2 linked regions of the Saccharomyces cerevisiae S288C genome follow. The protein of the gene in region 2 interacts with the protein of the main gene of each other region in a biochemical or structural test. Each region holds a gene or a part of one and is shown on either strand. Other genes may lie near its edges.

What was found. Proteins that work in one complex are often made in the same cells at the same time.
Region 1: the proteins of PCK1 (region 2) and WWM1 interact in a test that uses a peptide from one of them, tested with the Saccharomyces cerevisiae proteins (one large-scale study listed by BioGRID).

The regions. Positions count from the first base shown.
Region 1 is NC_001138.5:113,961-117,727, forward strand, and holds WWM1 (Wwm1p), read right to left. Parts: upstream 1,784-3,767; coding exon 1,148-1,783; downstream 1-1,147. Other genes in the region: hexose transporter HXT10, read left to right, coding at 1-25; AUA1 (Aua1p), read left to right, coding at 1,030-1,314; SCF ubiquitin ligase complex subunit CDC4, read left to right, coding at 2,185-3,767. UniProt on the Saccharomyces cerevisiae protein: Involved in apoptosis. May play a role in nuclear function controlling cellular proliferation coupled to mitochondrial biogenesis. Causes impaired growth when overexpressed.
Region 2 is NC_001143.9:628,530-633,948, forward strand, and holds PCK1 (phosphoenolpyruvate carboxykinase PCK1), read left to right. Parts: upstream 1-2,622; coding exon 2,623-4,272; downstream 4,273-5,419. Other genes in the region: ESL2 (Esl2p), read left to right, coding at 1-1,851; ubiquitin-specific protease UBP11, read right to left, coding at 4,497-5,419.

The sequences.
Region 1 (3,767 bases), on a different chromosome or scaffold from region 2:
ATTAGTTATTGTTGATAGTAAATAATTTCTAAATATTCTTGTACTCTGGTAAACAGAAATAACAACAGATAATGGATTGATGCTTTACTTCTATTTCATGGAGATTGGTTTTATATAATAGCCTTTATTAATGGCGTCACAAATTGAAAAAAAAATTAAAAAAAATAAGACGGACACATTTGCGACGCCGGTGAATAAATGCATATAAGTAGTTTATAAGCTAGCTACTACTCAGAAATAATTTCAAAAAAAAAAAGAAGTGGGCACTTTAAAATGAAGATTAGCTATAGTAAATTACTGTAGTATAACAACTACCTGCTATCTTTCTGAAAAAATCAGGCAATGTAAGGTCAAACTTGTACCATCGACATATATAATGTTTTGAGATATAAGTAACTAGAGACCAGTTTATACAGGATCTTACCTCTTTTTACCGTTATGAAAGCTTTATTACTGCGTTGTTAGTAAACACACATATTATTTTCGGGTAGTCCTGTCGATGTTCCAAGGCTTTGCATTTATCATTGTTTCCGCTTCATCGGTGGTATTAGTTAGTGTATCTGTATGTGAAGTATGTGGATAGGTGCTTCTATTATTGGAACAAAACACCTTAAACGCGCACTAGGTTATAGGAAAGGGTCCATTATTCAAAGAACGGCTTATTGAAAAGTATGTTGTAAAGCTCGGTCATATCGCGCATAGCCACGATAAGGCGTGGTGCTGCTTCATAGATTGAGAGGCGCAGTCAATACACAACCATACCGGTAGTTTGATAAATGATACTATCATTCCGGAAGCTCTCTAGTAAGCTGTAGGTGGCATATACGGTATCTATCATCTAGTAATAGCTATTGATTTTTTTCTCGACTATGCTATATGTGTTGTGATGGTTCACTTAGAAGTGAAAAAGTAGCAATAAATTAGACAGACAGAAGTAATTGAAGCTACATTCAACAACATGGCTAAGTAAAAAAGCGTAGAATATCATGATGGGTTTTTTTATCTTTTAATTGCTTTCTATGTAGTATAATGGACCGATCTTTGCAAGTATATATCTGTATGTATCCATATTTAGATGGCAGCAAGCAATATAGATTTGATGAGCTTATATCATTTTATCGTCCTTGTCCAAAAAGTCTTGATAACATTAAAAGTCACTACCGTCAAATCCATCATCAAATCCGCCGTCGAACCCACCAGCATCATCAAATCCGCCGTCGGACCCACCAGCATCATCACCGTAGTAATTGTTCTCGACAACGACAGTGTCTGGTCCGTCATAGTTGTGGTCGTCAAATGCGTGTTCTAGCATAGCTCCACCTAACAAACCCGCACCAACACCAAGTAAACCACCCATCATGGCACCGCCGTGTCCACTACCTTTACTGGTGCTTGGCGCAGTTCCATAGTATGCTTGCTGTGGTGCTGCTGCTGGCATAGGGGCTTGTTGAGGATAGTAACGCTGCTGTTGAGGGTATTGAGGGTACTGAGGCTGTTGAGGCTGATAGTAACGAGGTTGCTGTGCTTGGGCCCCTGCTTGCACTTGCGGTGTTGATTGAGAAGAATAAGGTGGAGGAGCCTGGTCTGCCTGTTGACGAGAACTCTTCTCATTGTTAACACCTGGTGGAGGACCTTTGGGTCTTGGCCATGTTGTTCCCCTTGGTGGTTCCCACTGAGAGCTGTTCGTAGATAAATCTACATAATACCAAGTCTGGTATTCATCATCAAAAACAGCCTTCCAGCCAGAAGGCACTTGAGGAGGATTACTTTTACTTTGAGCCATTACTTTAAAATGTTTTGGGTTTTTTTATCGACTCTCTTGTAGTGAGTGATAAAAGCAATTCAGAAAGAGTCTTTTGATTATCATGACTAAAGTAAACTTTTTCTTCCAGCTGCCGGCTCGGTCAGGTGGACGAAACAAAAAAGCCTGTTGAAATAATACTGAATACGTTAAAACGTCACAGCGCTTGTATATCTTGTGAGAGAAAGGCTATTACCACTGTTATATGAATATAGATTGCTCAACAAAGCGTGTCTTTTTCTGTGTGCTTAAAATATAGTGTCTTTTTTGGGAAAAAAACGTTTATTTACAGTATTCTCTTCTTCTTCTCCTCATTCAACTTGTTGCGGTTCGAAGAAAATTACGCATAAAGAATCAAAGAAAGGCAAAAATTACGCTGTACGATGGGGTCGTTTCCCTTAGCTGAGTTTCCATTACGTGATATCCCTGTTCCTTATAGCTACCGTGTGTCTGGCGGTATAGCTTCCTCAGGTAGTGTTACTGCGCTTGTTACTGCCGCTGGCACTCATCGAAACTCGTCCACGGCTAAGACAGTTGAGACAGAAGACGGCGAAGAAGATATCGATGAGTATCAGAGGAAAAGAGCAGCTGGTTCTGGCGAATCCACTCCTGAACGCAGTGATTTCAAAAGGGTAAAACATGATAATCACAAAACCCTCCATCCAGTTAACTTACAGAACACCGGTGCAGCGTCTGTGGATAATGACGGTCTGCACAATTTAACAGATATATCCAACGATGCAGAAAAACTTTTGATGTCTGTGGATGATGGTTCTGCCGCACCTTCTACATTGAGTGTAAACATGGGAGTGGCATCTCATAATGTTGCTGCTCCCACTACCGTCAATGCGGCAACAATAACTGGCAGTGATGTTAGTAACAATGTTAATAGTGCTACTATTAACAATCCTATGGAGGAAGGAGCGCTGCCGTTATCACCCACTGCTTCCTCTCCAGGTACCACAACTCCTTTAGCTAAAACTACGAAAACTATCAACAACAATAATAATATCGCCGATTTGATAGAATCCAAAGATTCTATAATCTCCCCTGAATACCTTTCTGATGAGATTTTCAGCGCAATAAACAATAATCTCCCTCACGCATACTTCAAAAATTTATTATTTAGATTAGTTGCCAACATGGATAGGAGTGAACTATCCGACTTGGGGACTTTAATCAAGGATAATTTAAAGAGGGACCTAATAACGTCTTTGCCTTTTGAAATAAGTTTGAAAATTTTCAATTATTTGCAATTCGAGGATATTATAAATTCCCTTGGGGTCTCCCAAAATTGGAACAAAATAATTAGAAAATCTACATCGTTGTGGAAAAAACTTCTGATATCGGAAAATTTTGTGAGCCCAAAGGGTTTTAATTCTCTCAATCTCAAACTCTCCCAAAAATACCCAAAACTCTCACAACAAGATCGCCTTAGATTATCTTTTCTGGAGAATATATTCATTTTAAAAAATTGGTACAATCCCAAGTTTGTACCACAAAGGACCACGTTAAGAGGCCATATGACGAGTGTTATTACGTGCTTGCAATTTGAAGATAATTATGTCATTACGGGGGCTGATGACAAAATGATCAGAGTTTATGATTCGATAAACAAGAAATTTCTTCTACAACTATCAGGTCATGATGGTGGGGTTTGGGCATTGAAGTATGCCCATGGCGGTATTTTAGTCAGCGGTTCTACAGACAGAACGGTGCGAGTTTGGGATATTAAGAAAGGTTGTTGTACCCATGTGTTTAAAGGTCATAACTCTACGGTGAGGTGCCTAGATATAGTAGAATATAAAAATATCAAGTACATTGTTACTGGTTCGAGAGATAACACTTTGCACGTTTGGAAATTGCCCAAGGAGTCCTCCGTTCCTGATCATGGGGAAGAACATGATTATCCATTAGTCTTTCATACCCCTGAGGAGAACCCATATTTTGTTGGTGTTTTAAGAGG
Region 2 (5,419 bases):
TCGCATATTTTACAAATTGTTGGATTTGGAGAGCCAAAAAACCCATTTGCAATTTTATTTGAATTGCCGAAGTATTTGAAGGAGAGGAAAGACAAGAAGGAACGTAAAAAATCTTCAAATAATGACTCCTCCGTGACGGAAAGTTCAACGGGCAATAGCCGAAATGACAACGAAGATGACGATGAAATAATGAGTTCTACCACTTCCATATCTGATCACGATCTCTTAGCAGAATTCTTCAATGACATCGATACCTTAAGGCGTCCGATACTGCCTTCAATGCTAACAAACGAAGCATGGTTGGAAACATTAAAGTTTCTAAATATGACCTCATTAAAATGCGGTATAATAGTGCTTCGGAAGTTTCTACATGGGCCTTTAGGTATCGCATTACCCCATATCTTACCATGGATATACTTTATCATCTCAATTTGTTTGAAAAGCAGCCAATTGAGTGATCCAGTTAGTAAAGAATTCTGGATGATTATTGTTAAGAGAGCTTTTCCATGGGATACAATGGTTACCTTTATGAATGTTTTGATTGTGTATTTATTGGATAACCAAACATCGAACTCTATTATTGGAGATTTATGCGATGACTACGATAAATTAAGCCTTTCTGAACTTTTAGAATTATTCAATGAAGGCGAAGAATTACCAGAAATTTTGGGCTGTTGGGGAACATTGTGGTTTGACACAATTTGCGAAAAGAATACGCATTCGATTAGTAGTGAAGATAATTTTCAAGAAATCGGTATAAAAGATTATATGGCATTGGATTCGCCGACAGATGGAATTATATTTGATGAAAAGGACGAAAATGGTGAAAAATTCTGGAAAAGGGCATGCAGAACCATATTTCTTTTTAGAGAGCTGTCAAGAAGTTTTCCAATAGGCGTAATAATCAGAAACGATCCGTTGATATATCGTTCATCATTTCAAAATACTAATATATTGGGAAGTTTAGTCTTCAAACTCGAACCCTTGTGCAATATACACAACAATATACCAGTATTAGGTGCCCTGGAAAGTATTATTGACATATCTGAGGCAAGAAGTGAAAACAACACTGATCTGCACGCTGTGCCGGAACTAAGTGTCAACGAGGGCGATAATATCTTCCACTATGTTGGCTACAAGAAACTTCGTGCCGATTATACGTGCTTCGATAAAAATGGAGAATTTTTAAGCGCCTCGCTTTACACTACATGGTATGTCCCGAACAGCAACAACACTAACATAGAGGACAACATCAATTATAACAGCGAAAAGGAAAATGAAGGTCTATTTCTGGAATGTATAAAATCTGATTATCCAGAAATAGATTTTAAAACTACATACTTTGTCTTTGATGCAACTTCTTGGCTAAGACATTCCGCACGCATATTCAAGCTAGCTCAAAACAGACTGCTAAGATTTGCCATTTGTTTAACCACATTCCAAGAGCTGAGATTTTTACGAAAGTCAAAGGACGAAAACGTCATGGAGGCTGCCACAAGAGGTATAATAACTATAAGGCAGCTTTACTATGAGAATAAAGTATTACCCCTAAGATTCACAGGTAATGTAGCGACACACATCGAAGAGAACTTAGAATTTGAAGAACAAATAACATGGAGGACACATGTCGACGAGTTTGTCATCGAATCCGTAATGAAGGCGCAAGAAAAACTAGAGAGTGCCAGCGAACCGCGTCTTTCCCCTCGCCGCTTTAACTACGTAGTTCTGATATCTGACGACGACGCCATGAAGAAAAAAGCAGAAGAAAAAGAAATAAAAACGCTAAGCACACGATTTGTGTTTTCTTTGTGCACAAAACTTGGCGAACAGCGCCATCTGTGTACAGACTGATCGTTCGTTGTACGTACATTTACAACAACACCAATTCTACTCACCGCCATAAATAACACTTTAATTTTAATATATACTTTTATATGCATATAACCAACTGACTTCCATACAATTCTGACCAGAGCACTTGGGCAGAGCCCCCACCCAGGGCCTTGTCGGAAAAAATCGGAATATCCCACACGATCCACCGGAGAATATCGGGACGCTGACGGGTGAATGGAGATCTGGATTTCCTAATTTGGATACATCTCTTTTCTTTTTTTGACTCACAATAGGAAAAAACCGAGCTTCCTTTCATCCGGCGCGGCTGTGTTCTACATATCACTGAAGCTCCGGGTATTTTAAGTTATACAAGGGAAAGATGCCGGCTAGACTAGCAAGTTTTAGGCTGCTTAACATTATGGATAGGCGGATAAAGGGCCCAAACAGGATTGTAAAGCTTAGACGCTTCTGGTTGGACAATGGTACGTTTGTGTATTAAGTAAGGCTTGGCTGGGGATAGCAACATTGGGCAGAGTATAGAAGACCACAAAAAAAAGGTATATAAGGGCAGAGAAGTCTTTGTAATGTGTGTAACTTCTCTTCCATGTGTAATCAGTATTTCTACTTACTTCTTAAATATACAGAAGTAAGACAGATAACCAACAGCCTTTCCCAGATATACATATATATCTTTATTTCAGCTTAAACAATAATTATATTTGTTTAACTCAAAAATAAAAAAAAAAAACCAAACTCACGCAACTAATTATTCCATAATAAAATAACAACATGTCCCCTTCTAAAATGAATGCTACAGTAGGATCTACTTCCGAAGTTGAACAAAAAATCAGACAAGAATTGGCTCTTAGTGACGAAGTCACCACCATCAGACGCAATGCTCCAGCTGCCGTTTTGTATGAAGATGGTCTAAAAGAAAATAAAACTGTCATTTCATCAAGCGGTGCATTGATCGCTTATTCCGGTGTTAAAACCGGAAGATCTCCAAAGGACAAACGTATTGTTGAAGAACCTACCTCGAAAGACGAAATTTGGTGGGGTCCGGTCAATAAACCATGTTCTGAAAGAACATGGTCTATCAACCGTGAAAGAGCTGCAGATTACTTGAGAACAAGAGACCACATTTATATTGTCGATGCATTTGCAGGATGGGATCCAAAATACAGAATCAAAGTCCGCGTTGTTTGTGCCAGGGCTTACCACGCTTTATTCATGACAAATATGCTTATTAGACCTACAGAAGAAGAATTAGCCCATTTTGGAGAACCTGATTTTACTGTCTGGAACGCTGGTCAGTTCCCAGCCAATTTACACACCCAGGATATGTCTTCAAAGAGTACTATAGAAATTAACTTCAAAGCAATGGAAATGATCATTTTAGGTACCGAATACGCCGGTGAAATGAAAAAAGGTATTTTCACAGTTATGTTTTACTTGATGCCTGTGCACCATAACGTTTTAACTTTGCACTCTTCCGCCAACCAGGGTATTCAAAACGGTGACGTTACTTTATTCTTTGGCCTAAGTGGTACCGGGAAAACCACTTTATCCGCAGACCCACATAGATTGTTGATCGGCGATGATGAACATTGTTGGTCCGACCATGGTGTCTTCAATATCGAAGGTGGTTGTTACGCCAAGTGTATTAATTTATCTGCCGAAAAGGAGCCTGAAATTTTCGACGCTATCAAGTTTGGTTCTGTATTAGAAAACGTTATCTATGACGAGAAGTCGCATGTAGTCGACTATGACGACTCTTCTATTACTGAAAATACTAGATGTGCCTACCCAATTGACTACATTCCAAGTGCCAAGATTCCATGTTTGGCGGACTCTCATCCAAAGAACATTATCCTGCTAACTTGTGATGCTTCGGGTGTTTTACCACCAGTATCTAAATTGACTCCTGAACAAGTCATGTACCATTTCATCTCTGGTTACACTTCTAAAATGGCTGGTACTGAGCAAGGTGTCACTGAACCTGAACCAACATTTTCATCTTGTTTCGGACAACCCTTCCTAGCCTTGCACCCTATTAGATACGCAACCATGTTAGCTACAAAGATGTCTCAACATAAAGCTAATGCGTACTTAATCAACACCGGCTGGACTGGTTCTTCCTACGTATCTGGTGGTAAACGTTGCCCATTGAAGTACACAAGGGCCATTCTGGATTCTATTCATGATGGTTCGTTAGCCAATGAAACGTACGAAACTTTACCGATTTTCAATCTTCAAGTACCTACCAAGGTTAACGGTGTTCCAGCTGAGCTTTTGAATCCTGCTAAAAACTGGTCTCAAGGTGAATCCAAATACAGAGGTGCAGTTACCAACTTGGCCAACTTGTTTGTTCAAAATTTCAAGATTTATCAAGACAGAGCCACACCAGATGTATTAGCCGCTGGTCCTCAATTCGAGTAAACGAAACATGTTCGTTCGATATGTTCAATCCAAAAAAAAAAAAAAGAATTAGAATTATTTCGACATCATAAATGTTCGTAATATATTATTTTGTCAATTTTTTCTCTTCCCATTTCAGCTTTTTTTTAATAACTGAAACTGGATCAACAAGCACATGTTTTTCTAATTAATCTTTCAAACATATTTATGTATATACATAAGGAAAATTCAAAAATCCGATGCAATTAACAGAATTCTTCTTCATAGTTCTCTTCATCCATTCTTTCGTAGAATAAGACGTATACCTCATCGCTAGACATTTCTGTTTTGCCGGCTTCAAAGTTGTTGCGATCCTTGCGATGTTGCTGTATATAATCGTCATCAAATGTAACCCAAACTTGTCTATTCAGTCCAATTTCATGGCTCTTTTCTTTGTTCACAACAGAAGTATAGTGTCCATTGATAAGGTTACCGGAATGATTCACCGTTCCATATAACTTGTATCGAATCACTTTACCGTTCTTTAAAATAATGTTCAATATCAAAGGGTAGGTTATTACAGTGCTGTTTTTTTTTGTTAAATCATAATAGAACCTTGATAAATGAATGACAAGTATCGGAGGTAAAACTATAAAGTCTAAACTCTTAATCGTGGTTAACTTTTTAGAATTTCGCTTCTTTGCATTTTTTGTTGAATCATCGCTGCTATGGTGATGATGGTGATGATGGTGGGGTGATTTTGACCTTGATCTGGAATGAAAACCGAATATGGTTGATTTTTTCTTCTGGCTAGTAATTTCTTCTTTTTTGGATTTAGAATCAGTAATTCTACAATTAGGACAATCCCAAGCATTGTCGCCTGACAGTTCTTCATCGCCTGTAAATAAGTTTATGCAATCCTCTAATTTAATTTTTCTCGACTTACTTGTAAAGCTATACAATGATAGTTTTGGAATCGCAAGTGACAGAACATAGAAGGTAGAATAGCTATAAGAAGAATTACCACAGCGCTGACATTTCAAAATGTTCTCCAACTGCCCTCGATATATGTGATCAATTGGAGATAAACCATCAGTAATAACATTTCTCTCGTACCATTTCTCGTATTTGGATGGGTTAACTTGTAAAGCATTCGCATCATATGACACTAGATCTGGATAATACTTGA